Linked DNA regions of Caenorhabditis elegans. The protein of the gene in region 1 purifies or fractionates together with the protein of each later gene. This does not show direct contact. Each region holds a gene or a part of one and is shown on either strand. Other genes may lie near its edges.

The links.
Region 2: the proteins of T21B10.3 (region 1) and Y49G5A.1 fractionate together in Caenorhabditis elegans (co-fractionation; one large-scale study listed by BioGRID). This does not show direct contact.

The regions. Positions count from the first base shown.
Region 1 is NC_003280.10:8,926,853-8,944,598, forward strand, and holds T21B10.3 (Edg1 TPR repeats region domain-containing protein), read left to right. Parts: upstream 1-7,529; 5' UTR 7,530-7,555; coding exon 7,556-7,588; intron 7,589-7,638; coding exon 7,639-7,738; intron 7,739-7,785; coding exon 7,786-8,070; intron 8,071-8,115; coding exon 8,116-8,315; intron 8,316-8,624; coding exon 8,625-8,737; intron 8,738-8,781; coding exon 8,782-9,076; intron 9,077-9,126; coding exon 9,127-10,443; intron 10,444-10,492; coding exon 10,493-10,780; intron 10,781-10,871; coding exon 10,872-11,022; intron 11,023-11,067; coding exon 11,068-11,482; intron 11,483-11,525; coding exon 11,526-11,752; intron 11,753-11,880; coding exon 11,881-12,011; 3' UTR 12,012-12,180; downstream 12,181-17,746. Other genes in the region: cct-2 (T-complex protein 1 subunit beta), read left to right, coding at 893-1,021, 1,067-1,184, 1,243-2,412, 2,459-2,631; mrpl-50 (Large ribosomal subunit protein mL50), read left to right, coding at 3,001-3,533, 3,587-3,785, 3,832-3,957; enol-1 (Enolase), read left to right, coding at 4,151-4,242, 5,254-5,339, 5,496-6,442, 6,488-6,760; Histone-lysine N-methyltransferase set-17, read right to left, coding at 12,352-12,370, 12,589-12,676, 12,724-12,816, 12,867-13,229, 13,275-13,340, 13,384-13,486, 13,535-13,636; T21B10.4 (uncharacterized protein), read left to right, coding at 14,048-14,244, 14,288-14,414, 14,466-14,570, 14,621-14,723, 14,775-14,997, 15,041-15,440, 15,485-15,586; cutl-15 (ZP domain-containing protein), read right to left, coding at 16,036-16,113, 16,573-16,819, 16,975-17,237, 17,361-17,646, 17,690-17,746.
Region 2 is NC_003283.11:5,279,590-5,293,425, reverse strand, and holds Y49G5A.1 (BPTI/Kunitz inhibitor domain-containing protein), read left to right. Parts: upstream 1-6,052; 5' UTR 6,053-6,065; coding exon 6,066-6,197; intron 6,198-6,513; coding exon 6,514-6,625; intron 6,626-6,671; coding exon 6,672-6,733; intron 6,734-6,776; coding exon 6,777-7,019; 3' UTR 7,020-7,083; downstream 7,084-13,836.

The DNA.
Region 1 (17,746 bases):
TGACCAACTTCAAAAGCAGACTTCAGCAAAGTGCAATTTTCATAGAGAAACTATAGTCAAACCATCAGAAGCCGTAGTTTCCAAGATTTCCAGAGCAGTGTTAATGGGCTCAAGCTGGAACGGAGAAGCCTGTCTACTACACGTGCCTGTGTTTACTGTTGTATTCGATAAGAAATCCTAAAAGTTATCAAACCATAAAATCTTGCGATAGACTATGGTTTCTGAACTGATATCGACCGTTCGTGGAAATTTGACATAGGAGCTAAATGTTTTATGATAAACCCTGGCTTTCTCTGAGCACTTTAGAATTTGAAATTTTATATAATTCATTTTCTACAAGAATTGAACAGATCTGTAAAATTTGGCACCTGTAGCGACCAACATGACTGAGATCGTGGCGAGACCCACTCAAACTTCGCAAAATTACAGAGTTTTTCTTCGTAAGGGAACAACATAAAAATTACTAAGTTTCATAATTTCAATGAGAGTTCGAACCATTCCAAACACACGAGTTTAATTTTAGACGGGTGCAGACCATTAAAAATATTATTCTAACTGGTGGCCGAGAAATTCGCTGGCCGTTCAGCAGACGCGCCCCATTGGACATTTAAATATTTTGAGTTTCGAGAAGGATTTTCCCTCAGTTTTCTATGAATTTCTGGAGATTTCAATTCGTTTTCACATTTTGATTACCGTTTTACAATGTTAAAAATTTTCCAATTTTATATTTCTTTGTGAAATCATAAAACTCACCTTCCTCATGCACTATAGGCCATTGAATTAGGCGTTTTTTAAATCTATCATTCACACAAATGTTTATTTTAGACGTTCTTGGATTAATTGTACATTCAAACTTTCTGGGTTTTTTTTTCATGTTTCGTATTTCAGCAAGATGCTTCCAGTCCAAATTTTAAAGGACAATGCTCAAGAGGAACGAGGAGAGAGCGCTCGTCTCAGCTCATTCGTGGGTGCAATCGCCATCGGAGATCTTGTCAAGTCTACTCTTGGACCAAAGGGAATGGTAAGAGCGTTTTGATTGTTAATCAAAATTAAATATTAATTTTAGGACAAAATTCTCATCAGTGGAAACCCAGAAAGCGCAGGAGGAATCAAAGTTACCAACGATGGAGCAACGATCCTGAAGTCAATCGGTGTTGACAATCCAGCTGCTAAGGTTCTTGTTGGTAAGTGCTCATTCACTGAATTTTGTTTTTACTTTTACAAACGTTTTGCATCTTTCAGATATGTCAATGACACAGGATCACGAAGTTGGAGATGGTACTACTTCAGTAACTGTCCTGGCCGCAGAGCTCCTCAAAGAAGCCGAGAAACTTGTCAATCAACGTATTCATCCACAGACGATCATTTCTGGATATAGACGTGCTCTCGGGATTGCTCAAGAATCCTTGAAAAAGTCCAGCATTGAATCCGGAGATAATATTCGTGATGATCTTTTGAAGATTGCCCGTACTACTCTTGGATCTAAGATTCTCAGTCAACACAAAGAGCACTTTGCTCAACTCGCCGTTGATGCAGTTTTGAGACTCAAGGGATCTGGAAATTTGGATGCCATTCAAATTATCAAGAAGCTCGGAGGATCCATGAATGAATCTTATCTCGACGAGGGTTTCCTTCTCGAAAAACTCCCTGGAATGTTCCAACCAAGAAGAGTTGAGAAAGCAAAGATTCTCATTGCCAACACACCAATGGACACTGACAAAGTGAAAGTTTTCGGATCAAGAGTGAGAGTAGATGGTGTTGCCAAGGTTGCTGAACTCGAAGCTGCTGAGAAATTGAAGATGAAAGAAAAAGTTGACAAAATTCTGGCCCATAACTGTAATGTCTTCATCAACCGTCAGTTGATCTACAACTACCCAGAGCAACTTTTTGCCGATGCTAAGGTTATGGCTATTGAACACGCCGATTTTGAAGGAATCGAGAGGCTTGCTCTTGTTCTCGGAGGAGAAATTGTTTCCACATTTGATTCACCACAAACTGCTCAATTCGGATCTTGTGATCTGATTGAAGAGATTATGATTGGAGAAGATAGACTTCTTCGGTTCTCGGGAGTCAAATTGGGTGAAGCTTGCTCAGTCGTTCTTCGTGGAGCAACTCAGCAGATTCTTGATGAGTCCGAAAGATCCCTCCATGATGCCCTTTGTGTTCTCGTTACTCACGTGAAAGAATCAAAGACTGTTGCCGGAGCTGGAGCGAGCGAAATTTTGATGAGTTCAGCCATCGCCGTCGAAGCTCAAAAGGTTGCGGGTAAGGAAGCCCTTGCCGTTGAAGCCTTCGGAAGAGCCCTTGCTCAATTGCCAACCATCATTTGCGACAATGCTGGACTTGACTCGGCTGAACTTGTCACAAGACTCCGTGCAGAGCACGCCAATGGACGTCACAATATGGGAATCGGTTTGTTCATTTGGAAATCTAACCATTATACAAAATTATCTTTCAGACATCGAGAAAGGAGAGGTTGCTGATGTTACGAAATTGGGCGTTATTGAGTCTTACAATGTGAAGTTGTGCATGGTTTCTTCCGCCGCTGAAGCCACGGAACAAATTCTTCGCGTCGACGATATCATCAAGGCAGCTCCACGTGCCCGTGCTCAAGATAACCGACCATGCTAATCAAATTGTTCGCCAGACTGTTAAAAGATCTTCAACTTTATTCTCCCTTTTTCAGCTTTTAATCGAGTGCTTCAACACAATCGTATCTCGTTTTTTTTCGTCCCCTTCATTCTTATTTTTGATGGAATTTGATACACTTTCTGTTGCTTCTGCCTACCGTTTTTATATGCCCCCGTTTTCAATTTAATATTCGAGAATACCGCGTGTTTTTGCTTGTTGATTTGTTTTCCTTTTAAAATGAATGGAGTGCGATTTACAAAAGGTACAATATTTGAAATGTATTTTATTCCAGTTTTTATCTGATTTTTTATATTTCTGATTAAAGAGAAAAGAAAAAGCTTAAAAGAAAAAATTTAGAACTGCCAAAAGATGCACAGGAGTTTTCCGAGGCTTGTCCGATCGCAAGGTAACTTGTTGAAAGGAATGTTTGGAAAATCCGGGGAAAAGGAAGCAGTAAAGCAGCTGACACTGGAAGAACAGGAGAGCCTTCGCAAGACGCTTCCCAGCATCCGTGCTAGAGAATCCACACAAGTTACTGCTTCAGCTGATTCTGTCACTGAATTTGACGATGATCTGTTGACGATGAGCCGTATCGACACGGATGCCATCCGGGCCAGAGGTTTTCTCAAATACACGCAAAACTATGTTCCCGGCGTTGATGTCAAAAACCAAGTACTTGAAGCAGCGTCATCATGTCTAAGAAGTGCTGGAGTAAAGTCTGAAAACGTGGATCAGTACAAATTTGTGGAAGGAGATAACTCTGTAAAGTTCGAGTTGTTGAACAGGCTGGGAAAATCCATCGAACATTGGCCAACCAATGGAAAACTTCTTCATTTGGAAACAGTGGCAGACGTCGTCGAATTTTATCAGACGCCTGTCAAAAATGTAACAAAATATACAGAGTTAGTTTTTGTTTAAAGATGCTTATTGAATTATTAATTAAAATAAATTATAGAATGGCTCGCGATGAGAACAAACCGAAAAACGTCTCGATTATGGAGCATGCTGCACGTTTCCATCCTGAAGACACTCACATGTATCATGGTGGAATCACTGCATTCCCAGGATCAGGTGGTGAAGTTCTCTCTCTGAGACAGAAACGTCTACTTCGACAGTTCCAACCGAAAAAAGAATGGTTCGATTATGATGATCAGGTAATTTTTAAAGTTTCAGTGCTGACTTAAAATCGGCATTTTTCAGACATTTGATTACACTCGTCCTGACAAGAATATGCCATGGGATCCAGAAGTTGCTAATCAAATGGACAAATACACTGATAAACGATACAACCTAAAAACAAAGCAATTCACTAGGATTCGACAATAAAAAATAATTTGGTTCATTTTTGTATTAGAGTTTCATATTTAGTATTTTTAGACCTATTTTCTTTTTGTTTGATCTATCGATTTTTATTGTTGTAAATAAAATTGACGTTGAAAAAAATATTTTTGACCTCTTCACGTTTTGATCTTCCTCTAAAGTTTTGCTCTACGCAAGTTATTTCAGTTTTTGATTTAAAATGTTTGTTCCATTCACCTCGGCAGCTCACTCGCTCACTTCGCTCATTCGAGGTGGCGGGCAGCCTTCGAAAAGCAATCTGTCTGGACAAAGGTTTTGGTTATCTCTTTTTCTTTATTTTCCGCCAGTTGATTTCATGCTCCCGCGACTTCCACACGCAATCTGCAAAATTTTGGCTGCTGAATCAGGGTAATGGGGTCTGCCGTGCCTTTTTTCCAAAACGTTGACTGATGTTTACTTTTCTTTTATGTTTCATTTTGACTTGTTCAATGGTTTTGAACAATAGTGTGTGCAAACTAACGTTTTTCTTTAAATTCAACACGCAAGCTTTGAGGTGTTTTAGTTAGAAAGAAAATAGTTGTGTTTCTCTTCAAAAATAAGTTTTTTCCGAAATGTTTTGCAAATTTTCCGAATCAACAATTTCTTCTCATATCAGACCTTATCACTTCTTCTCACTTCTAAAACTGACCACTGAACATAAAAAACATTTGGTAACTCGCTTCTCAAATCCAATCTGAAGTGCATGCTTTGCCAATCTGAAACTTCGTGTAAGTCACGTATTTAGGCGAAAGGCAGCCGCTCAAGTCGTCGCTTCTCCCCAGCGGCAGTTGCTGGCGTCCTTGGCCCCTCACTTGTTTTCGAGCCCAAGGCATTGGCTCCTCTTTTCTTCTCGGCATGACGAATTTAATCATAATTCTCAATATCTAGAAGTGTTCAAGAACTTAGTGAATCTGCAATGCCTTTTTTTTGTAACTTCAGTTCGAATCTTAACTGCGTCTCTTTGAGATCTACAAACGAATTTTATTCACTGCCACGAAAAAGAGGCTGTCCGTGCGATTCTATTGAACGTGCGCTCTCGGGCCGCTCACAAACACATCTAACCAGCTGCATTTTCTCTGAGTCTCGTGTCCTCCGTGCGACCTTCGTCACTCTTTCCACTTTCTGCGCCGTCTATTGACGGCGCCGCCTTTTTCTTCTCGCACTCCTTTACCCCTTCTCGCCTCAAACATTTTATCTTTTCAGTTGTTTTGTTTACTAGTGCCCGTTTCTCACGTAGTTTTATATACTTGTTTGATTATTGAAAACATATAGTTCATTTTGCAGGATGCCAATCACCAAGATCCACGCTCGCCAAATCTACGACTCCCGCGGAAACCCAACTGTTGAGGTTGATCTTTTCACTGAGAAAGGTAAGCGAGCATTGTATAAATTCTATCAAAACTTGAAAAACCAATCTAGATTTGAATAAAATAAGATTAATCTTGTTTTATTCAAATCTGAAATTTCATGAAGTATATTTCAACATTATGACGCAATTCCGAAATCACATCATTTCTTGTTTCCAGGAGTCTTCCGTGCCGCAGTTCCATCTGGAGCTTCTACTGGAGTTCATGAGGCCCTCGAGCTTCGTGACGGTGACAAGGCTGTTCACCTCGGAAAGGGGGTTCTCAAGGCCGTCTCGAACATCAACGAGAAGATCGCTCCAGCTCTGATCGCCAAGGGATTCGATGTCACTGCACAGAAGGACATTGACGACTTCATGATGGCTTTGGATGGATCGGAAAACAAGGGAAACCTCGGAGCTAACGCCATTCTCGGAGTTTCACTTGCTGTCGCCAAGGCTGGAGCCGTACACAAGGGACTCCCACTCTACAAGTACATCGCCGAGCTTGCAGGAACTGGAAAGGTTGTGCTCCCTGTTCCAGCCTTCAACGTCATCAATGGTGGATCTCACGCTGGAAACAAGCTCGCTATGCAAGAATTCATGATTCTTCCAGTTGGAGCTTCCAGCTTCGCTGAAGCCATGCGCATGGGATCAGAAGTCTACCACCACTTGAAGGCTGAAATTAAGAAGAGATATGGACTCGATGCCACCGCTGTTGGAGATGAAGGAGGTTTCGCTCCAAATATTCAAGACAACAAGGAAGGACTTGACCTTCTCAACACTGCCATCGACAAGGCTGGATACACTGGAAAGATTTCCATTGGAATGGATGTCGCAGCATCGGAATTCTTCAAGGACGGAAAGTACGATTTGGATTTCAAAAACCCAGCTTCAGACTCCTCCAAGTGGCTCTCTGGAGAGCAACTGACCGAGCTCTACCAATCTTTCATCAAGGAGTATCCAGTTGTCTCTATTGAGGATGCTTTCGATCAGGATGATTGGGATAACTGGGGCAAATTCCACGGTGCCACTTCCATTCAGCTTGTCGGAGACGATTTGACTGTAACCAATCCAAAGAGAATTCAAACTGCCATCGACAAGAAGTCATGTAACTGCCTCCTTCTCAAGGTTGGTTATTTTCTTATTCTGCTTCATACATAAGTTTCTTTTCAGGTTAATCAAATCGGATCCGTCACAGAGTCAATCGAAGCAGCCAAGCTCTCCCGTGCCAATGGATGGGGAGTTATGGTCTCTCACAGATCCGGAGAGACTGAAGACACTTTTATCGCTGATCTCGTTGTTGGACTTGCCACTGGACAAATCAAGACTGGTGCTCCATGCCGTTCTGAGCGTTTGGCCAAGTACAACCAGCTTCTCCGCATCGAAGAGGAACTCGGAGCTGATGCTGTTTACGCTGGACACAACTTCAGAAACCCACAAGTGTAGATCACTCAATCTAACCTATAAATACTGTGTATTTTCGTACTTTCTTCTCAAAATTGCCCTCCCTTTTTATGTAGTCACCTTTTTACCCTATTTTAGTGCTTGACCAGTTTAAAGTTGATTCCATTGTAGATTATTTATTGTACTTGTAATATGAAGATTGGACATGAAAATTTTAACGAAAACAAACATCTGGTTATTTAATTCGGTTTTTGTTTTTTTCTAACTACGGTATCTGTTAAAGGAGCACGCGTTAATTTGGCTCAGGGTCCCGCGACGAAAACTACCATCGCGCGAACGCGTACGCGCCAAAAGTTCTGAAATACATTTTCATCATTTCTTTTGTCACACATTTCGTGCCATGTCATTTACGAAGTGGGTCTGATTTCAAACCAACTGAAAATTCGAGAATTATCGCTCATTTTTATGTCTTATGTTTCGAAAATATAATCAATGCATTTCATTGATTTGTTTTCGTTTCGTTTCGTCGGCATTTTTCAGTTCTCCTGTTCTGCTAAATAGCTATCCTTCATTGTTCCTCGAACTAAATAAGTGGTTACAAATTAACTGTATTTTGCAAACAAATTATAATTTGACTGTTGTGCCTCATTTTAAAGAACAGAATAATTCGGCGCAATTTGTTCATTTTGCAGTTACTTATGCTCTCAGCACGCACTTGTTTTTCTCTCCGCTCTCTTCGTCTCTTAATCGATTTTATCTTTTCTGATTTGTTTGAAACTTTATATTCTCAAATTAAATTCCTGATTTTCAGAAAATTCTCATGCTCGTAACAGCAAAATGAATAATCCAGAAGAAAGCGCTGTAACAGATGTACGTTCATTTATTTTTTCCATTAGTTGTGCAATAATTCGTATTTTCAGCTCCGAAAGTTCACCAATTTGGTTCTAAATGGACTTGTTGACGAAGAAGCAACAGCTGCAGCTCTTATTCGGTATCAATTCCAGCAGCGCACGATCAAAGGTTATTAAAGACGCACAGAACAGCCTCAATTAAATTTACGATTACAGATGTTGTTCGGCGCGGTTCCGAGGATCCCGAATTGAAAGCACAGATATGTGATTTGCTCAATCACCTCGTTATCTACCTGAATGAGGAGATTGTGGAAACTTCTTCCAAAGCGTGTCCGGATGGAATGGACGATCGACATTTCGTGCAACTCGAAAAACGGATGCACTTGATGTTCGAGGTATACTTGGCAATGAATGTCGTTCCCGATTATCTGATTCCTGATCTCACAAAACACGTTGATGCAAGCCGTGAAGCTGTTAAGTATTCATATAGCCTCTGCAAAGGTACGTTTCGATAATTGTTAAAATATTTTATTGTTTTTTTTGCAGACTATTACCGCTGGAAAGAACTGCCATTAACTCTCAAAGAATTTTTTCTTGATGAGAAAGAGGAGGTGAAGGCTGTTGTCGATGAACCAGAACCGACAATGTTTGCACGCGACGACGGGGTAGTATCATCATTGGCTCATGAGAAGGCACAATCAGACGAGGATGGGAAGAAGAAACAGTTCGTGGCAAAGACCGAGAAGGTAGTAGAGCCCCTTAAAAAGAAAAAGAAGCAGAAAAAGAAGAATAAACAGCGCCAGTGAAAAATCCCATTTATTCTTGTACCATGGCGAGTTTCGTGTCTTAAAATTTTATATCTCACAAAATCTGAACCTGTGCAAATGTTTGTTAAATTTATCCCGCAAAAATTCGTATTGTGATTCTATTCGTTTTTGTCTTGTGATGATCATCATTTGATTCAGTATTTAGTCTAGAAAATAAAAATTTCAGCTTTCTCTGTGTCTGGTATCAAATGCATTTTATACAAGTTACTTAGACTGGTAAATTTCCAGGTTCTCAACAATTATCGCGCCAAGAATCCTGACTACAGAACGATGCGCGAGTTGATTAATGCGAAAACAAAGTTCCGTCTCGAGGGAATATACTGCGACAGTTTAATCGATGAGTAGGTGTTCTTATACACTATTTCTGTAAACACCTGATTTTCAGTTTCATATCAGTTTGGGATATGGCTATTGACATTGAACCAGTGAAGACAGAAGACAAGTTTGCATTCACTAGTCTCCTTAAGAAAGTCTTTCTCATGATGGTCGATAAAAGGAGAAATGATTTTGCTAGCAAGATTTTAGATAAATACAATAATGATGCTTCGGGTGTACTGCCTTGTCTCGATAACTTTGTAGAAAACTTTCAAACTGGACTTACGGCCGCCATAAATAACCTTCCGCTTGATGCTAACGTATTGAGCAACAATATGGAATTGTTCGAAAAAGCAAAAGATCCAGTAAGACAGTATTTTTGAAGTTTTCAGTAACCGAAATCTCGGATTTTCAGATAATATGGTATCTGCTCATTTCACCAGCCTACACAGTTCAACAGATCCTGCTGATTTGCGTTGATAACAAAGGTTACGTTCCTCTCGTATCTCGGATTTTTCGTGCCATACCAACATTGTTTGAACGATCTGTCAACCTCACACCGATGCATTTCGAAGGCTTTAAAACTCAAAAACTTTTGATTACCATTCTTCATAGAGTTTTCATTATTGGACGAACTACATGGACTTCTGCTTCTCAGTGGGAAAATGCTGCAATGATGACAATGTCGTTCGCGAAGGAAAGAAAACGAAAAGAAGGACAACCGGAAAAAGTAGAGGATAAAGCATTGCTGGATTCGTTTTCCTTGGTTAACTTTGCTCTCAATGAGCTCTTCAAGGATTATCGAAAACCATTGAAAGCAGTTGAGATTTTTGTGAAAATGCTGCAGCGTCTTCTTGCCAACAATAACAACGCCAGAATGCTCACAAATTACCAATTCTCTTCGTCTTTCTTTGATGATGGAAATAACTATCTTCCAACTTCGATAATAATGCTGCTAATGTTCGATCTTCTTGTGGAATACGATGGACAATCGAATGAAGTTTGTGATGGTGCCAGAGACATTCTGAAATCAGTTAGCGGTCGATTGAACAACGACAACATTATTTTCGATACTGATACATGCAGGCACTTGATCGATGAGAAATTAAATTATGCTCCGTGGTGGATCAAATATTCAATTTGTTCATGGTTTTCATCGTCTCTCCAGAATCCAAAAAAACAAGTCCCATCGGGTGTCTACAAAACAATTGCAGAACAACATCTAGATGAATTCGAACAAATTAAACCGGAAGAAGTTTCAACTGTTTCGGATTGCTACTTCAGATCACTCTTTGAACTGGGTCTTTTTGATGTTGATCTAGCCATTGAACTTTTACAGTATGGACATGTTGCTAAATTTGAGTCGTCAGTGGTTGAAAAAATCGCTTTAGCTTTGGTGGACAGTTATGGGAAGAAGATGTCTAAAAGAAGTGGTGGATTGGATATCGGAAAACTGATTATTTCAATGCTCCAGAAGTTTGATCCAATTCGAGAACTTGCACCACTCAAATCCTACAGCTCGTCCTACTTGGAAAGTGTCAAAAAGATCGAACACATACTTGTACTTTTCATGGCTGCTAGAATTGCAAAAGAGAAACAACTCAGCGCTGCAAGAGTCCGAACTGATGACACAATTCAGACCGCATACGATGAAGTAATTTCTTTGAATCAAGTTTCTGATCAACTTATGGACATTTTCTGCGAGACTACTAAAGCTCACGTTGATAAGGAGGTTACAAACTATTTATTTCAATCTATGATATTGATTTTCTATTTTCCAGGTAATGGAAGTTGAACAAATGAGACGAGAAGTGGAAGTTCTTTTGTTCTCTACTCCAGGAACGACACCTAATCAATTTAAAGCAATGGTTGAGAAGGAGAATAGAGAACAATCATTGGCTCTGCAATTATCAATGATTTATCTTAATTGTTCATATTTCTGTCGACTCTACCAGCAAGTTCCCATTAAGTTACAACAACTGATGAATTCAACTCTCGAGAAACAATTCGATTCGCAGAAGTTTTTAGCCAAGAAAGTTATGGATGACGTGCTGACAGAAAAAAGAAAGGTAAATCTCTTGACATTATTCGCTTAAAAAATTAGTGAAGAAAATTAGTTTAATTTTTTTTTTTGAATCTCAATAAAATTAATTTTTGCAGACCGAAGTTGTTTACGCATTCGTGGATACACCAGTCGAGCCGACTCCAAACGAAGATAATATTCAACCCGTTAAACCTGCAGAATTATTCAGACCACCAGTTGTTGAGAATGTCTCAGTTGAGAGTACAACGTACAATTCAAATGGAGGAGGTACAGTAATTCATAAATTTTTTATCTAACCACTTGCCGTTTTAGGTTACCGCCAAGGAAGATATCAAACCGGATATCAAGGAAAAAATCGTAGATCTAATTTTGAACAGCCCACGTCTTCGCGTGGTTCTGGAAGAAGTGATCGTACCTACGCTTATAAAGGAAATCGATTTCAACCTGTCAATGACTCCCACGTTTTTGCACCCAGAGAACGAGAGAATGTGTACCAGAACAGCAGTCATGATCGTGATATTCCACGTAATGATTATTCAGAATATGATCAAGAAAAGTTGTACCTTGACGATAAACAACCTCGTTTTCATTCTGAAAATAGAAATTCCAATGATGTTAGAAGATATTCTGAATCAAAAGACTCGAAATATGACAATAAAAATTGGAATAATCGTTCTTCTCGGTGGCCTTCTGAATCTGAATATTCTCAAGAAGATTCTGAAAATAGGTATGTAAGTTATCTGGTTTAAAATATTTTTTTCTATTTGAAGGCATCTCGATCAAACTATCCAATCCGTTCGAAAGTTCTCATATCGAGAGAACCAACAAAAACATAACAGACCTGGCACCTCTAGTGCTTCGCCGCCGAAAAACCAAGAATGGAAACAACATCAGCAACAGAAGAAAAGTTTCGGTGGTGGTTTTGGAGAAAACGGCAATAAGTTCAATGGAAACTCACGGAAACAACCCGAGAGAAAACCAAGATACACTTCCTCGAGTAGGTTTTTTTATTAATTAAATTGATCCTAATTCAGTAATAATTGTAATGCTATTGAAGTAGGATCAATTATATAATAGAAAAAACCAATTTTATCGTGAAACGATTTGGACTTTATTCGCTTTCAGACTTCTACGAACAAGATGAAGATTCACTTCAACTATTGAAACCTGACAGAAATGAGCTTGCTCAGGCAATGGGCCTCAATGACCCGCCAAACCCGCCCAAACCTCGTCGCAGTGAATGGACTCGTCGTTGAGTTAACATTCCCGTTGTCTTCTGTTTATTGTTCTCATACTTCCTATCCAAATTTGTTATGTTGGTTTTACTCTATTCGCCTCCCATTGAATTCGTATTTTTTTCCATTCCACATTTAATTTCTTTTACTTCTTTCAAATTTTCACCGCCTTGAAATAAAGGTTTGTTTTTAATTAAGATTGATGAGCGTATATAACGAGAAGAGCTTCATTTTTCTGCTGAATGGCTAACAATATTAGGTTAAACGGCGTGTAGAACTGGGTAAAAATGCAGTAAATATTAAATGTTGAACATTTCGATGTCGACACAAGAACAACTTGTGGATGAGGGTAAAAAGAAGATTATCTTTGAGCACCGACACTGAAAATTGGAAATTGTTAACAGAAAGAAAATGATTTTGAGGTGAAATTAGCACACTTAACTATTATAATACACATTAAAACGTTTCGGCATCCAATCAGGATAACCTCAAGAACTTAAAATACAAATAAAAGCTAGGTAACAATTCATGTCATTGTTTTGCATGAATTTAAAACGAGAATTGAAAATTAAAACTGTTTGAAAATTAAAATTATCACCAAATGAACGGATTCTTGGCTGGCTTTTTATACTTGTTTCCGTTTTCTGACTCGACAAACTCGTTTCCATAGGAAGATCCATACCAAACTGAAAAACAAAAAATAAAAACAAATTTCAGGTGGCTTTCCACATACCGAGCAATTCCTGGTTAATTCTGATTGGCTTGATTACACGGTAGAAAATTTTTCCATTTGTCTGGAATGCCAACATATTCTGCTCATCTTCGACTGAAATATTTTTAGTTAAGTTTACACAGAAAATCATAATTTTGTCTTACATCGTGGACTATTAATATATCTCAGCCAATTAGATCGCTCGGCGTCGGATCCATCAATGTAGAATCGCTTATCACCACTTTTAATAAGCCAAGCATATCCATCTTTGTAGAAATCTGTTTTTTTCTGACAGCGGCGACCTTTATACGGACCAAATACCATTCCAACTGGAATAAACACTTCAGCAATCACTCCTAATCCGGCATTCGGCAACTTTGATTCTTCGATGCGGAAAAGGATTGGCAGAGTTTGTTGCGAGAACGATAAGTTCGAGCTTTCATCACGTTTCAAGACACGATCGGGAATTTTGAATAGTGGATGCAGACGACAATATGGGCGATAAAACTTGTTGCATTTGTCACAATCTTGAAAAAATAAATTGTATTCGGAATTTTTTAGAATTGACTCACGAATGTCGAGATTTTCATCATATGCCCCGTCGCTGATTTCAGTTCCAAGAATAGTCACATCATTATCTGTAATACAGTCATACGAAAAAAAAAAGCGTACACACAATACCGGAAAGATCTTGGATTTCTCGGTGAAGTTTAGAGTCAAGGTAACGAGCTTCGATAATACTGATTGCTCCATCATTAAAGTCAAGCACCAATTTGTAGCTTTTCTGTAAAGAAAACTCGTAAACTCAAGCAATGTTTGAAATGTGTCTTACTTTCTCTCCAGTGATCGGAATGATGGCTTCTGGATTACTTATTCCAGGAATTTGAATCCCATTCATCTGAAAATAAGAGATATAATTATGTTTAATATTCATAAAATTGCGCAGTCAAAAGAAAAAGAAATCAACATGCTTGTTTGCAATCAACAGAAAAGAATCGGAGCGCGTTTGCAACAGGAAAAGGCGGAAATTCAAACTAATATTTTTCGAAAAATTCAGGAAAAGAAGAGTAGAGTATTTAGATGAGTAAATAACAATATTTTAAGAAAGAAAAAGAAAATGAATTCAGTGGAAAATTCACTAAAAATCAATGTGAATTTTATATCGATTACTTTCAATGTTGAATTTGAAATGTTTTGGAGGTGTACGGTATTCCACTTGAGATATTTAGTTTGGTAAAATCCCTGTACCTTTAAGCCATCTCTCGATTTCTTTTTTTAAATTGCAGTTTCAATTTAAATTTTTTACTCTTTCTCAAAGCAATAATTTAATTATTTTCAGAAAAAAATGCGGAAAAAATTTACGTTGTTCACTTTTATTCTACTTAACCTCACTGTCTCGGCAATCAGCAACAACGGCCCAACTGTTGATGAGATTTTGGAAACCAATCAATACTTCCTCGTTTCACAGCAAGATGGTATAACCTCCATCGAAACTTCTGTAACTCCCGGTCACTGTCCTCAGTTTATGGTAAATCCTAAAACGTAAGCTGATTACCTCGATGCACAACCTTATTAAAAATTGCAGAAATCATCCGAAATTCCGATTCGCAGGCGTTCATCTTGTACGTGATCCGAATGGCCGTTTTCCACCCAAGATAATGACAATCAGAGAAGACGATCATTCTTTCAATGCAAATATTTTCACTCTGAATGTAAGCTAACGCGAATTAAAAACAATATTCAAAAATTAATTTTAATTCCAGGTGTCCAACGTATTTCAACAAATCTCCTCGAAAACCGTCAGTTTTGTTGACAAGAAGAAAAGCCTTGTGCCAGAAACGTCAGCACTGAAGTTAAATAAAAAAATTGTGAGCATATTCAGAAATTTGGCATTTTTTTTCAATTTCACTAATTTCAGCTCTCAACTCTTTTTGACTCAACCAGCCACATGCTATATGTCGACTTCTCAACCTCAGATACTTTCGAAATGGAACAATTTTTTGTCAGTGGACTTCATACTGGTAAGCAAATACTTTTTAAAAGTTAAATGAAATGTTACTTCTAATTTTCAGACAACTTCAAATTAATTTCACTTCATCGATACTATAGATCTTCACCAAGCAGCAGATTTGAGTGGCAAGAAGATCAATATGCTGGAAAGTTCTATTATAAAGAAAGAATCGACGATCAGATTCAACTTTTCGAAATTCCAATGAACGCACTAGTTGCAACTGCATCAGAAGGAGAAGCCGGCGTGAAAGTTGGAAAAATGAACAAGGACGGCGTTATTCTTGGGTAGGCCTACCTAAAAGATTGACCCCTGAAAGATTTTTTTCAGAGCAACAGGCGGTGCGTTTTTCACATCTTATAGAAAGCGCGAAGGAAACATGACAAAATTGTACACTTCTCTAGTACCGGCAAACCTGAGCGCAGGTTTCAAATGCGAAAAATTGATTAAACCTTCTTCAATGCCAAATTTCTACGAGCTCATCATCATCAAGAATAATGATTATTGCATGTTGAGAGATGGCACGAATTTCGATCGTAAAAATTGTGAAATGGAACAGAAAGCGTACCTCATTTCCAAGCAAGTTTTTGAAGACGAGCCAACAAATGTTGTAATGTGGCTGCTCGTTGTCTGTATCATCATGTTTATGATTATCATGCTTCTCTACGTCTACATCTACTGGCTTCGTTCTACTTTCGTGGCAATTGAAGAGAGAGCTCTTCCCACTGAGGTTAAATATCGTCGATTTTTCTTTAAAAATATTATATTTTCCAGTTCGAAACGGAGGCATCTCTATTTGTCGCCAAGCAAAGAAGTTTCCAATCAGCATACTACGATCCTGCTCTTCTCGATGTTTCTGTCGACAAATGGAATTAATTTATTTTCCCCACACTTTTATCATTTTCAGTTCTAGCAATTAACTCAAAACCTGTTCACTGTCCCTTTTTATATAATAGTATACTGTTCTTCCCATCTCCTATCACACATCAACTTACTTGAGTTTTATTTGTTATTCAGTTTTATTTGTTATTCATTTACCCCTGTTCCATTCCTTTTGCACATCTCCTCTGCAGTTCTAATTTATTTTGTAATTTTTGAATTGTGAGGAAAACTTTCATTGCTTTTCCAACCAAAATAAATAAGTTTAAGAAAAAAGAACCCTGTGATGGCAGATAAGAACATAGGTCAATGGGAATGGCCAAAGGCGCACCGGAAAAGAGAATCCGTAAAGAGAGAAAGTCAGAAAAGTGAGAGAGAGAAAATGTCAAAGATAACAAAATGAGATCGGAGTTGGAAAATGGAGCAAAAATGACAAAATGAGCAAATTATGACATGCTGGCGATTTCATATTTTTGTCGGCGAACAATGAGAATCACAATTGTCGTTGTGATCAGGATTAAGGCCTGAAAATGAAAATTAATATAAAAATTCAGGCTTTTCAGCGATGTCTGCTCTGAAAGTATCAAACATGGTCTCGCCACGACTGATTATTTGAACTCCAAAGTGTGTGCGCCTCCGAGGAGTACTGTACTTCCCAACTTGTCACTTTTTTATAACTTCTCTCCTGTTGCCTCAAAAGTCTTTGAAAAACTATAAAGTAAGAAAAGTTAAAATAATAATGCAAGCATTACTAACTATTTATTTAATTTGATAAAAGATTCAACAAAAAAATTTGGAAGTATAGTACTCCTTAATGAAACACGTTTGCATTTGAAACATTGGTCGTGTCGAGACCGTATTTTTGGGCAAGAAATCGGAAAATTGATAAGTAATAGACATCTTAACTTTTTCTTGGTTCCTTCAAAATCATACGAGATTTTTGAAAATTACGAAAACCGTAGAAAAACTTGGTAAGTACTCACCACTGTTAATAAAATACTAACAACTAGAACTGATCTAAAATCTGCACATATTCTTTCTTCGTCAAGTGCCTTCGATTCTGAAGCCTCTTCAATTGATTCAGTTTCCACGTGGATATCCGGACATGTGTGTTGAATTGGTGGTTCTGTTGGGTGTGGAGTCATTGTAGATGATGTGATGTTGATCAATTGAGATATTTCTAGATTTTGACTTCGAACATCAATGGATGGAAATTGAGATGAGTCTTCTCTGAAAATGGTTTTAATTGTAAAATATTTCGTCAAGATAAGGATTCATTTAGCGGAAAAATCTCCCGACGCTACTCTCACTTTAAATAATACCAAATTTTCAAAAATTATCAGAATGCCTAATAAACTAACGGTCCATAAGATCAATTTTCTTACCTTTTCCTCCTCATCAAATCACATTTTGGTTTAGGGCATTCCCCAGTTGGAAGTTGTGGATGAAGACGGACTTGACATGCAAAATATACAATTGAAGTATGAGATACTCCAAATACTTTAACAGATGTTCCCACATGAGTTCGATTGTGATATTCAAGTTGTGGCATTATTGATTCATGTTTTGAACATCCAGATGAATCGATTACTTCGTGAGTTTCTTCACCACCAACAAGCTCACAGTTTTCGATCATTATGCATGACTCCTACAAAACTTAGTACGTTGGTCAATTTGAACATTTACGAACGATACTGGTGACTGTTTTCAGAAAAAAAACCCAGAATTACTTCATAAAAATAAACATTTTTAAAATTTTTCAAAAACTTACATAAACATTTTGGCACTGCCATGAATGATAAACGTCTTGTCCAAGAGCCAACCGACCGGCAGGTAACCCTCCGGGACTTGTTAATACTTCATATGAACAACTTGGTCCTTTGGTATCTGATGGAGGAGGTTTTGGAGATCCAATTGCCAAGGAAGTTGATGTTCCATTTATTTTCTTTTGATGGAAACATTGCATATTAAATATTCGATCATCTACAGTTGTGAATTCTGGATGAAATGAAACTGATAAAGATACTTCTAGAATTACTCCTGTTGGGTGCAGACTTCTGAAAATATTTACAGTTGAAATATAATTTAACTAAAACATACCTCCTCCGTGGCACCATACATTCCTCATGGGGAATCAGAATCTCAATTTGATTATTT
Region 2 (13,836 bases), on another chromosome or scaffold:
GTTCTGCTTTTTTAAAGCAGTAAACAACACTTAAAATTGCAACTTTGCGTTTTAAGATGAGACAGAAAAAATACAAAAACAGCTGAACGAGCTGCTTGGCGCCGACAGGGACATCAGTCATCACTTGTGAGCCACGCGACCCGGGGTCCCTTCGACGTTTAATGACTTTTCGGCGATGGCAACGAAGACGGCGACTGCGACGACGGGGGGCGCAAAAAACACGGCTTCATTTCATTTGACACAAACACACACATGCACAACACATATCCTCGTTTTGCTCCAAAAAACTCTCCTTTCGTTTCCGTCTTCGAAAATTTTTTGCGTTTTGCTGGGCTCACTTTTCAGTCAGATGAGCTTGACGGAAGCACAATTTCCGGTATTTCTTCCGCATACTTTACACACTCCCCAAAAAATATTCCACGTCAACATCACCCAAAAAAAGTTTAAGTTCAAGTTGGCATAAAGCTTGTGGCTCCAAGAAAAAGCTCCCAAAGATAGCAGCAAAAAGGAAGGAAGGAAGGGCAAGATGAATTATTCAGGAAGTGTGTGTTTCGATAGGAATAGGAAAAACGGCAAAGAGTTGTTGAAGATGGTGTTTGTGTGTGGGATGGAAAACGTTTTGGGTTGTTGTTTTTTATCGGAACGAAACTCCTCCAAGGGTCAAGAGTCAAAAAATTTGAGTTTTGAAATAATGGGGGAGGTGGAATGAGTAAATTATGGTAATGAGATTAAAAAAAAAGAGGGCGTTGGAAGATCTTTGGGTTCGGTGCACTTTACAATTTTGGTGACGTAGAATAAAAATAAAATAGGCTCAAAATTACTAGTTTCGTGCTTACTAGAATAAATAATGGATTTGGAAAACTGGTTTGCAACAAGGGAAAACGAAAATATTTTTAGATTGATCGGATTGAAAATTTACAACAAAACAACCGAAAACTCTAATTTTTAGATAATTTCTATAAGGAAAAAATGGTACCAAATATAACTGTGAAAAAATTTATAAAAGTTTTCAGATATTTTTAAAGAAATCACAGTTGGCAAGATATTTTAGAAGGGCAAAATTATTTTTGAATTCCCGCGCAAATGCCTGATCTAGTTTGGACTTTTTTGTATTGCGGGATAATACATTGGTCTTCTTTTTCTACAAAAATATTTCATAAATGTTTCAATGTTAATTTTAAACCTAATATAAAGATTCCGTAAAATGTTTTTTTGGTGATCATGTTTTCTTTACGGAAAAACGTCTAAAAATGTGAAAAACTATGCTTCAAGTTGTAAAACAGAGAATATCTAAATATAGCCTGAAAACCAAAAAGGCCGAAACTAGGTCGCTCGTTTGCGCGGGACTAATTTGCAATTTTTCAAACTGTGAAAATCTGAACGAACTTTTTTGCAAATTTTGATTCCATCCATTTTGGCTATGAATCATTCAAATTTAATATCCTGTCTGCTACTGATGATTACAGGAAATTTGGGTGAAAAGTTGAAAGGTTAATCTTTTGTAACATCAGGTTTTTTTGAAAAGTTTGATAGGTTACAAAAAGCTGCATTATTTCAGAAAAAAATTAACTAGTTGAGAGGTGAAAAACGGTTGACAATTGGCGAGTTAATAGAGCACCAAAACCACTTTCTCTAAAAGGAAGAGCTCTCACTCATAAAAGTGCTTCTCTCTTTCCGCGACTCTTTTTTCTTCTCTTTTTTCCTTCTCAATTTCTACTTTTCTTTCTTTTTTTCCTCCTTATTTTCTACAACCGATTCATTCATAGGCTATGACGTTGTGAACAACAAATGTTTCTTTTTTCTTTGAGAAAAATCAGAAGGCGTTGATGGAAAAGAAAATGTGTCGGAAATAGAGCTGAAAGAAAAAAATTGGATTAGGTTGTGATGCATCATCAAAAATTTGTTAATTTGATTTTACAGAATGTGTGAATCTTTTTTTTTCCTACAACTTTTATTATAATAACTTCTTATCAATTTGAAAATAAATAAATAAATATCGAGTACATCTGTAAGTGTTAGGACACGTGATAGAGGAATAGGGACGAAAGGAATAAAATGGAAAAGAGTAGGGGGGATGTCCCGCGGGAATTCTAGGACAACAGCAGCAACCAGTCTGACGGGGCGCTTATGGAAATGAGCAACCGATAGAAAAAAGAAGAAAAAGACCAGTTATGGCTGAAGAGATGGTGTCAGGAAATTCACTTTTGGAAAATATGGTACATCAGAGAAACAAATGGCGGAAACAGTGGAATTTAAAATTTGAAAGTTTAAAGCCGCCAATTTATAGAATCAGAACTGTTGAATCAAAACGACAAAAACATACTAAAAATGTTTCATTTTAAAGATGCTCAAAATAGATGGTTTCTTACGGTAGGTTTAGGTATTTTATAACAAATTGGAAATTTGAATGTACATGTTTTGGTTATGAATCCTGAAGAACAAAACCAGAAAAAAAGGATGGGCTATAAACGGAATGCCGGAGCAGCTCATTCACGCGTTTCCAGGAGCAAGAATCTCCGCACGCGCGATTTATGGGCATAGTGTCGACGAATGAGCCAGAGCTGTGGAGCTTATGTTTTAACGGCTTTGTACACTTTTAGGGGGTTTTGGGCACTATTTGAAATGAATCGGAATGAAGAAGTACTGTTGGCAAATTGCTCAAAATTCTGAAAATTCCAAAAGCACTCCAACAGAACAGAACTTGCCCTAGTTTTGCCCAAAAAATATTTTACCGTATTCCCGTATTCCCTCTTGCACCCGGATTCTATTTTTTACCGTATATATTACCGTATTCCCTCTTGCACCCGGCTATTCTACTTGAGTACACATACCACTCTGTTCATTTTGAAAATTTTGCAAAGTGGTTGAATACAAAACTCAAGAAAAATAAGTAGTGAACATTTTGTCAGGTGACAAATGTTTCATAAACTCAACGAAAAAGTCTATAAAGAAACGGTAGCTTGGTTTAGAACAAAGTTGATATTTTCTGGCTAGCAAAAATCGTGTTCAACAAAAAAGTAAAACAAATTAGTAAAATTTTTGAAAATGGGTTATAAATTTCTTTTCCAGTTTTTTTCAGCTTTTGGTCGAGATGTACCTAGAACGTGCGAAATAAATTGAAAAACCTACTCTATATCAGTTCTCGTATCTAATGAAGCAGAGTAAAAAACCAACAATATCCAGTGCAACGGAGCAAACTAACATCATTTGCAGAATATAAATCAAACGAAAACAAATGTTCGTTTTGTGAGAATCTTTATAAAAAACAGAAAAAAATAAGACAACATCAATCTCTGATCGTGATGTCAAAGCCTTCTCACAATGAGAATAAAAGGGGTGAATTTGAGTGGTGTTGGTTGGAATCGAATATCTTGAAGAGCTCCCCCCACACGCACTGATGAGATGTTGCCAAGGAGCAAAGGAGCAGAATGACGGGGATACAAAGGATAACGAGAAAGAAAAGGACATTTGGGGAAGACTGGAGGAAGGGAAAAAATGAATCAGAAGACATTTTCATCCACGTTGTTCTTGTTGAGAATTAGAACTAATTGGTTGATTGGACGGATTGACCGCCTTGGAACATATTCGTCCAACAAAAAATAGCTGGAATTTGTTGAAAATGGGTGCATCTAGAGCATTTACAAGTTTTTTTGACTGTACAATTCTGTACAATTATTTTTTACGGTGTTGATAAGTTATTAAAAATTTTATATTAGTAACTATTTTTCAGTTTTTCTCATTGTGGTAGTTCTAAGTAATGTAGATTTTTTTCTAAATACTTTGAATATACAGTAATATTCGAAAATGGGAAAAAATTTTCAAAAGTCCTAATTCTGAAATTACGAATTTCGAACTCTCGGTAATCTCCTTTTTTGAATTTCCTCTAAAACGAAAAGTGCAACCAATCAGCGATTTGCTCCGCCCATGTGTGAACCAATCAGACGGAGTGTGTTTAGTTCAATCTGATTGGTACGGAAATGGTTTCTCTCTATTTTGGAGGTAATTCAAACATGGAAATTAGTGTGAGCAGGAATTGGCGAATACTTTTTATATATATTTTTTTTTTAATCTATATTTTTATCGAATTTTGTTGATGGCAAAAAATAAAATTTTCTTCTGAAAAGAAAAATCCAGCATTGTAAGCAAAAAATATAATTTATTTTCGAAATATCGGATTTTGTGAAAAATCGAAAAACAGACACCCTTGATTAAAATATTTATTATTTCAAAAAAGAGTGTTTCCGAAAAAATTCACAAATCAACACCTTTAAATTTAATATTATTCCCAGAGAGGAACATTGCAACATTTTCGTTCAGTATGTCATGAATTCTTCACTAAATAAGCCATCTTCACTAAATAAGCCATGGTATCAAGGAAGTGTAGATGATAAGTGGAAAAAAAAAGAACCGGACGATGAGAAACAAGAAGCAAAAAAACGAGAAAATGAGAAGAGTGTATGTGTGTCTTTTGAAAATGAGCACTCTTTTGGAGCACAGGCAGAGCAAAGTGGATTCTGCGCTGGGAAAACACCGACTAGGCAAAGGCAGATAATCAAATTGACCCCATAGGCTAATAGTAGCTGCTTTTCGCAATAGAGACTTGACTATAATGATTCGTTTTTTTTTGTTTTCTATTTTATTTTTTGGGTTTTGGTTTTCTATTCTGACGTTCTAAATCAAAACCTTACTTTTCAGTTTTTTTTTGAAAACATACAATTACCAAAACTTGAACCCAACAACTCAGAAAGAGTTGCCATAGCACATATTCAATCAACGGCGAACAAAGTAACAAGTAACAAAATTTTGTTATTTTTTGCGGAGAATTTCAGAGAAAAGCAACTGCAACGAAAAAAGTAGACGTCGAAGTGACATGAAAAGCAAATAAGGAATCGGAAATTTGTGAGTTTAGCTGGGGGATTACAGAGGATATATTAAAAAAATTTTAGGAACAAACTTCGCATGAACGGAATAAACAAGCACGTGGACCGGAGAATTTAGGTTACTCGAGGTCTATTCTCAAATAAGGCTTTTGAGTTGGGTTAAGAAATTAGAAAATTATGTCCAAGAGATTTCCCAACTTTTTGGAAAAAGTGAATAGGTGGCAGAAAGAAAAATTGCGTTAGAGTAGTTTTTCATATATAATCTTGACTTTCAGATGTTTTGTAAAACATGTGAACAACTATAGGAGTTTTCAAGAAACTTTTCTTTCTGAAAAAAATATGATCACTTTTAAAGGCTTCCACATTTGGAGCAGGGATGTGCGGCAAATCTCAAAATTTGCCGCGCTCGGCAAACTCGGCAAATTTGCCGTTTTCAACAGACTCCGGAAAAATGTTATATTTTAGATGTATTTTGGAGCACCAAAGATATCACACATCTGATTTCTGAATAAGTTTCGTGAGCTGTGTCAGCTTAAACATCAAATTAACTCCATTTTGTGGAATTTTACTAAATTTTAGGGGACAAATTCAATAGTTTTGGGCAAAATTGTTTTGTCAAATTTTTGGTGTGCTGCAAATTTCGAAATTTGTCGAGCTCGAGCATCGTTGATTTGAAGCAATTTGCACTGGAAAAATAATCAGATAGAATTTTATCCTGATCACAATACTTGTCAATTTTTTGTAGTAGCCTATTTTAAAATTTCTTTTTTTCAAATGGCATTTATGATCTCCGTATTGGTAATCTCTGTGACCAGGAAGTGATTCAAAGAATCATTCACGGTGATACCAAGAGCGTTTATAAAATTTGCTGAACAGTTTTTTAGATGGTTTGGCCACACAACCATATTAATAATTGTTTTATTGGACTTTTAGGTAGAATTTCAGATTGGAAGATTTCTGGGTGTTTTGTCAGCTAGCATTCGACAATTGAAAGAGATTTACGGATTTTTCTAAACGAATCTATACTAGAACTTCAACCAAACATTATCCAGTTTGACCTTCTTCTTATCTAAACCAGGAAGTGTTGAGTATAGTCATTCGATTTCTTTATCTCTCAACGTGTTTATCCATTTCTCCAGTAGTATAAAACGGTGATCATTTCAATTATTCTGTCAATTTTGCAAAATGAATCTTCTTCTTACCTTTTTGGCTACTATTCTGTGTGTCAGTGAGTTAGTCTCGACACTTCAACCGGAGTGCAAACTTCCATTGGACATGGGAAAAACACCATGTAAAAATGGAAAGAAGGAGATAAGAGTGAGTTTTGATTTTTCAAAGCTTTCATGTCGCTTTTTTTTGGAAACTTTGGAATTTTTGGAAATTGGAAAAAAATATAGAAAAACATTGGTACTTTCTGAAAATAGCTATACGTTTAATTGAAAATTCCGAGAATTTGCTCAAAAACTGACTCAAAAGTCAACGTGCCGAAATAACACTGAGACTGTAAGTCTTTTCAAAATTTCAACTTTTCAAAACTTTCAACAAAAGCAAAATTATTTTCAGAAACTAAACATATTTCTCAATATTTTTATTTCATAAAATTCATAAAGTATAAAGTCTTAATAATTTACAGTACCACTTTGACCAAAAATCCAATATCCCATTGGCTTTTGAGTACAGTGGATGTGGAGGAAACAAGAATAATTTCAAAACTGAGAGTGAATGTCGATTTACATGTACTGGATGTATGTTTTTTCATTTGAATTTTTTACTTTAAACCAAAGTATTTAGATGATCAATCGGGATGTGCCGCTGGAAGTAAGCCAATAAACGATAAAAACTGCCAAACCGATGTAAGTTGCTCCATGTTTTTGAAAAAATCTGTAAAAATTCCAGGAAGAATGTGGGCCAAAAGGTATCTGTAGGTACTCTAATCATATTAATATTTGCTGTGACAAGAAGATTGAAAAGTTGATTGAAGCTGATTATGAGCCAAAATGTCCAAAAGGAAAGAAAGTTGCAAAAATTGTCGAGGGTGGAATCCCTACAACGATTGTTGGGAAGAGTTGCAAATCAAAGTTCTGTCCAGCTGGAGCAACCTGTGTGGAGGGAACATATTTTGCCACTTGCTGCAATTAATTATTTTCGGCCGTGCATGTTTATCTATATAAACTTTTTTATTAATGAATTAATATAACTAATATAACCTTTTCCAAACAATTCGTCTGAAATCTTTAGATTTTCGGACTCCAGCAAATATACAAAGCTATCGATTTGTATATGATATCCCACTGTTTTAAATGAAAAATTTAATGTAGAAGCATATTATAAAAAACCAGCCGTTTGCACGTGCTCCGACTGGCGTACGGTAAATTGTTTTAATAAATTTTAAACTGCTAATGTAAGATTTTTGTACAGTCAACACTTTTCCTGGAGTTTTGCGGAATTTCAAGAAAATTCTAAAACTTTTCCAGAGTTTCTAGAAAATTCTAGAACCATCCTGCTTTTTATGTAAAAAGTCCTAGAAGGGACAAATTTTAAGCGCTTTCAGAATTTAATTACAAAAATTTCCAGGTGCCAGAAGCTTTCAGTTTGATCAAAAAAACTAAATTTCATGCAATATGACCGCATTTTTTTATTGGGAGATTTACTACGTTTGCATTACTTTAAAAATTAAGACTCTGGCCGTTCACCAAAATTAGTGACTCTGGCCGTTCACCAAAATTAGTGACTCTGGCCGTTCACTAAATATAGTTACTCTGGCAAAAATAGTGACTCTGGCCGTTCACCAAATATAGTGACTCTGGCCGTTCACCAAAATTAGTGACTCTGGCCGTTCACTAAATATAGTTACTCTGGCCGTTCACCAAGTATAGTGACTCTGGCCGTTCACCAAATATAGTGACTCTGGCCGTTCATCAAAATTAGTGACTCTGACCGTTCACCAAATATAGTGACTCTGGCCGTTTACCAAATAAAGTGACTCTGGCCGTTCACCAAATAAAGTGACTCTGACCGTTCACCAAAATTAGTGACTCTGGCCGTTCACCAAAATTAGTGACTCTGGCCGTTCACCAAATATAGTGACTCTGACCGTTCACCAAATATAGTGACTCTGGCCGTTCACCAAATATAGTGACTCTGGCCGTTCACCAAATATAGTGACTCTGACCGTTCACCAAATATAGTGACTCTGACCGTTCACCAAATATAGTGACTCTGACCGTTCACCAAATATAGTGACTCTGACCGTTCACCAAGTATAGTGACTCTGGCCGTTCACCAAATATAGTGACTCTGGCCGTTCATCAAAATTAGTGACTCTGACCGTTCACCAAATATAGTGACTCTGGCCGTTTACCAAAATGAGTGACTCTGGCCGTTCACCAAAATTAGTGACTCTGGCCGTTCACCAAATATAGTGACTCTGGCCGTTCACCAAAAATAGTGACTCTGGCCGTTCACCAAATATAGTGACTCTGACCGTTCACCAAATATAGTGACTCTGACCGTTCACCAAATATAGTGACTCTGGCCGTTCACCAAAAATAGTGACTCTGGCCGTTCACCAAGTATAGTGACTCTGGCCGTTCACCAAATATAGTGACTCTGGCCGTTCACTAAATATAGTTACTCTGGCAAAAATAGTGACTCTGGCCGTTCACCAAATATAGTGACTCTGACCGTTCACCAAATATAGTGACTCTGGCCGTTCACCAAAATTAGTGACTCTGACCGTTCACCAAATATAGTGACTCTGGCCGTTCACCAAAATTAGTGACTCTGGCTGTTCACCAGATATAGTGACTCGGACCGTTCACCAAAATTAGTGACTCTGGCCATTCACCAAGTATAGTGACTCTGGCTGTTCACCAAAAATAGTGACTCTGGCCGTTCACCAAAATTAGTGACTCTGGCCGTTTACCAAATAAAGTGACTCTGACCGTTCATCAAAATTAGTGACTCTGACCGTTCACCAAATATAGTGACTCTGGCCGTTCATCAAAATTAGTGACTCTGGCCGTTCACCAAAATTAGTGACTCTGGCCGTTCACCAAAATTAGTGACTCTGGCCGTTCACCAAATATAGTGACTCTGACCGTTCACCAAAATTAGTGACTCTGGCCGTTTACCAAATAAAGTGACTCTGGCCGTTCACCAAAATTAGTAACTCTGACCGTTCACCAAAATTAGTGACTCTGGCCGTTCACCAAAATTAGTGACTCTGGCCGTTCACCAAATATAGTGACTCTGACCGTTCTCCAAAATTAGTGACTCTGGCCGTTTACCAAATAAAGTGACTCTGACCGTTCACCAAAATTAGTGACTCTGGCCGTTCACCAAATGTAGTGACTCTGGCCGTTTACCAAATAAAGTGACTCTGACCGTTCACCAAAATTAGTGACTCTGGCCGTTTACCAAATAAAGTGACTCTGACCGTTCACCAAAATTAGTGACTCTGGCCGTTCACCAAAATTAGTGACTCTGGCCGTTTACCAAATAAAGTGACTCTGACCGTTCACCAAAATTAGTGACTCTGGCCGTTCACCAAATAAAGTGACTCTGACCGTTCACCAAAATTAGTGACTCTGGCCGTTTACCAAATAAAGTGACTCTGACCGTTCACCAAAATTAGTGACTCTGGCCGTTCACCAAATAAAGTGACTCTGACCGTTCACCAAAATTAGTGACTCTGGCCGTTCACCAAAATTAGTGACTCTGGCCGTTCACCAAAATTAGTGACTCTGACCGTTCACCAAAATTAGTGACTCTGACCGTTCACCAAAATTAGTGACTCTGGCCGTTTACCAAATAAAGTGACTCTGACCGTTCACCAAATATAGTGACTCTGGCCGTTCACCAAAATTAGTAACTCTGACCGTTCACCAAAATTAGTGACTCTGGCCGTTCACCAAAATTAGTAACTCTGACCGTTCACCAAAATTAGTGACTCTGACCGTTCACCAAAATTAGTGACTCTGACCGTTCACCAAAATTAGTGACTCTGACCGTTCACCAAAATTAGTGACTCTGACCGTTCACCAAAATTAGTGACTCTGGCCGTTCACCAAATAAAGTGACTCTGACCGTTCACCAAATATAGTGACTCTGGCCGTTCACCAAAATTAGTAACTCTGACCGTTCACCAAAATTAGTAACTCTGACCGTTCACCAAAATTAGTGACTCTGACCGTTCACCAAAATTAGTGACTCTGGCCGTTCACCAAAATTAGTGACTCTGGCCGTTCACCAAATATAGTATTGTTTCAATTTTTTCGTTTTTCAATATAAATAAATATAATTCTCAAACCAATCAACTTCTCTCCTATTTCTATTTTTGTAAGTCCTTCAATTGACCGGTTTCAACTCTCAGAAAGTGAACAATTCAAAAGAGATGTGTGTTTCGAAAATCAATATTATGTTTTACAGATAAAGCATATTGATCAGAAATTACTGTGCATTGATCCTTCGTTTAACTATAATGTTTTCAAAAAGTTAATATTTTAATAAGTTTTTTTTTAAATTTTCTCACTCCCCAGTTTTAATTCTTTCTTGAAGTATTTTATTCTATACAGTAACCTTCTCCATACAATTTGTTTACGTTGGCGGCTGTCACAAAGACCGCACCGCAGTTTCTGCGGGAACACCAGATGGACCTAAAGAGTTTTCAAACTTGCCGACAAGATTCGGGATTACTGTCACTTTCAAAGTGGATATGTTAGTTTTTCCACCAAAATTCCATGCAAGTGTTATTTATACGTAATAGATACTGTGTTGACTGTTACAAAGTGTCATTGAATTGACCTCGCACCTGTGGAAGTGATCACTGTATCCAGTTACTCCGAGTTGCGCAACATAAGTTGATTCTTCCGAGGGTAATTCGGTGCTCCATCAGCTACCAAAACGTGTGAAGTTGGGGGTATAGGTGTACTTTCCCAATTGGGTAGAACTCTGAGCAACATAAAAAGGCATCGAAAGCTGTAGTAAAAAACAAAACGATTCTCCTAAAAATCATGAAAATTTCGAAAGATTTCATTAAAGGCGGAACAAGGAACATGAGCTAACTCCCTTGTTTGAGCTTCCTCCAAAATGAGAATTGCATGACGGAAGGTAGCGTTTTTATGAGCTGAAAATTTTAACCTCTTGCGATTTTTTCCATTGTTCTTAAGAATTGTTCAGTATTTCAGATTCTTAGACTATTAAGAGTATTTTTAAACGTTTACAAAACCTCAAAAAAAAATTGTGCCACTCTGAGCGCGACAATGCATTAGCTCGTTTTCCTCCTAAATGAGCTCTCAGTCTTTCCAACATATATCGTAAAAAACGGGGTTTCTTTCGTACTTTTCTTCATCAAACATCGAATCGATTCTCAAAATTTGTATGTCACTCTCCTTATGCGCCCCCTACAGTACCCACGATGATTCATCGGGAAGTCCCAGCCTCCACACTCTACAGAGGGTCAGAAATAAACATAGCATATTTTTTGGCAAACTGACCTTCTTCTTGTTGTTCCAATGTTACGTGACCGTTTCAAAACATTATTGTTTCAAAGGCGGCATGGTGTCAATGTCGGCTTTCCGATACCAATCCGTTAAAGGAGTGCCGCGTTGTGAATTTGATAGCAACAAACTGGGTGGAAATTAGATCCATATTTAGACCTCGATTTACTTCTTTTTTGTGATTTTATACTCAGAGTATTTTTAAACGATTACAAAACCTCGAAAAAAACATTTGTTTCCATTCTTAGCCACTAAAAGTTTTTCCTAATTTGAGAACAAATGAAATATTACGTGGACGTCTAAAAATGAAATAAAAATGGGTCTCGGCACGCTGACAACAAGCTACGTAGTACGGTGCAAGTGATTTTGCATCAGTGTGAAATTTGATAAAAACTACTCCCATGGTGCCAAAATACCACAATATCATAGAAAAACGTTCTAAAGAGCACTTTGAAAAATATTTATTTTGTTACAAAAAATGGCAACTACTCAGTTTTTGCCACTTTTTTGGCAGTCGTTGTTCAAAAAAAAATCCGCAAAAAACTCAACAATTTCAAAATAATTTTTGTAAAATTTTACAATGACATTTGGCCGTTTTGGTAGCATAGGAATAGTTTTGAACAATTTCCCCAATGGAATGGCACCGGCACGCGCGCAGAATTGAGAATTGATTCTAAAGTGATGTGTGTGTGTGTGTGCCTTTAGTGTTACTGTAGGGCAGAAAACTCTTTACAGTAATCTTAAAGGCGCCTACGCCAAAAATTAAATTAATGTTCGTGTCGAGACCATTTTACGATTAAATATGCATTTGTTTAGAAGTCTATCTGTGTGGATCCTATTGTATGTAGAATCGATTAATTTCTAACAATTGACATCGTTCTAGTACTCATTATTGCACAGATGTTTGAGAATGACTGACGGTATAAGCTCATTTGAATGAACATATATGGCAAAAATTGTCGTATAATCAGCACATTTTGCACTGTCTCCAATAAACTGTCTCCCACGATCCCTCACCATATTTTGAATGATCGTAAACAGAACAGAAAACAAGCGAATTCGAATAAGATCTCTGATGATATGAGACGCAGACGCCTCCCGGTTAATAATTTCCAGCAAAAATCGCCTATGCTTGCGAAATTTTTGTAGTTTCTTTTTCAATTGTTTTAAAAAATTGTCTTCGAACCTTTGATGTAGAGAATTAGATAAAAGAGGAAATGCCATAGTTTATGTGGAAACAGACTTTGTTCTGCGAGTGTGCAAAGATGGAGAGAGAAAGAGAACGGACACACATGTGTTCGACAACTGATTTCTTTTCTTTCGAGGCTTTTCTGATTAATGATTAAAATTTTGAACGAAATTTTACGATTTTGGCTCAAATAATGGTACGCGGTCTCGACACGACAAACTTTTGTTAAATGCTAAAAGGCGTGCGCCTTTAAAGAGTACTGTAATTTCAAACTCTTTTATAATGAAGTTCGGATTTTTTTTCTCGTGGTGAGACCCATATAATATTACCGAGACGCGAAATTTTTCGATTTTTATACCAAAAAAACGGTAACAGGTCTCGACACGACAAATTTTTGTTAAATGCCAAAATATGTGTCGAAAATAATTTTTTTGTCAAAAATTTGCTTTCCAATTTCTACTAGAAATCGATCAAAAATACTATCATGACTTCTACACAAAAATACATCAGGCGTTTCTTTTCCCCCTCACAAGACCACATTATCTCTATTACATATGTTTTATGAATCATCTACAGGACTCGAGTCGCTACTCTTCATCCATGTAAGCTCCGCCCTCTTCTTCGGGACCGTTCGAGGGCCGAGCTTGCCCGACTCAATTTTTCTCTTTAGTCATTTATGTTTCTCTTAAAATAATGATGATAAGGCCGCTCTAATATGCAAATTAGAATTTTTAAGAATTAAATACATTTTTCTTTTTTTATTTAAAACCAGCCGCTGACCGCGCCTACGGCGCGGCCAACGACTGGCAACATTTGAAATGTTTGACACAATCATTTAAAAATGTCTTATGAAAAAATAATGAAACTTTCACATCTTCCCAAATGTTCCCAACTCTCAGCAAGAAACTATCAAAATATCTTGACATTTTCCTCATCAATTCCCAAGCCAATACACTTTCAAAAACTTAAAACGCAATTTTCCACCAAACTTCAATAATCCTACAATAATCCTACAGCACCCCAACAGTACCACTACAGTACCTTGACACTATTCCCTACCAACTCCCGAGCCAACACTTCTTCAAAACGTTTTAAACTCAAAATTTCCTAAACTACAGCAACCCTACCGTGTATCTACAGTACTCCTACAGTACTACTACAGTACCTTGACATTATCCCCCCAGCAACTCCCAACCCAATACCTCTTCTGTGGACAAAAACTCAATTTTTCCTAACCTACAGTAACGCTACCGTATACCTACAGTAC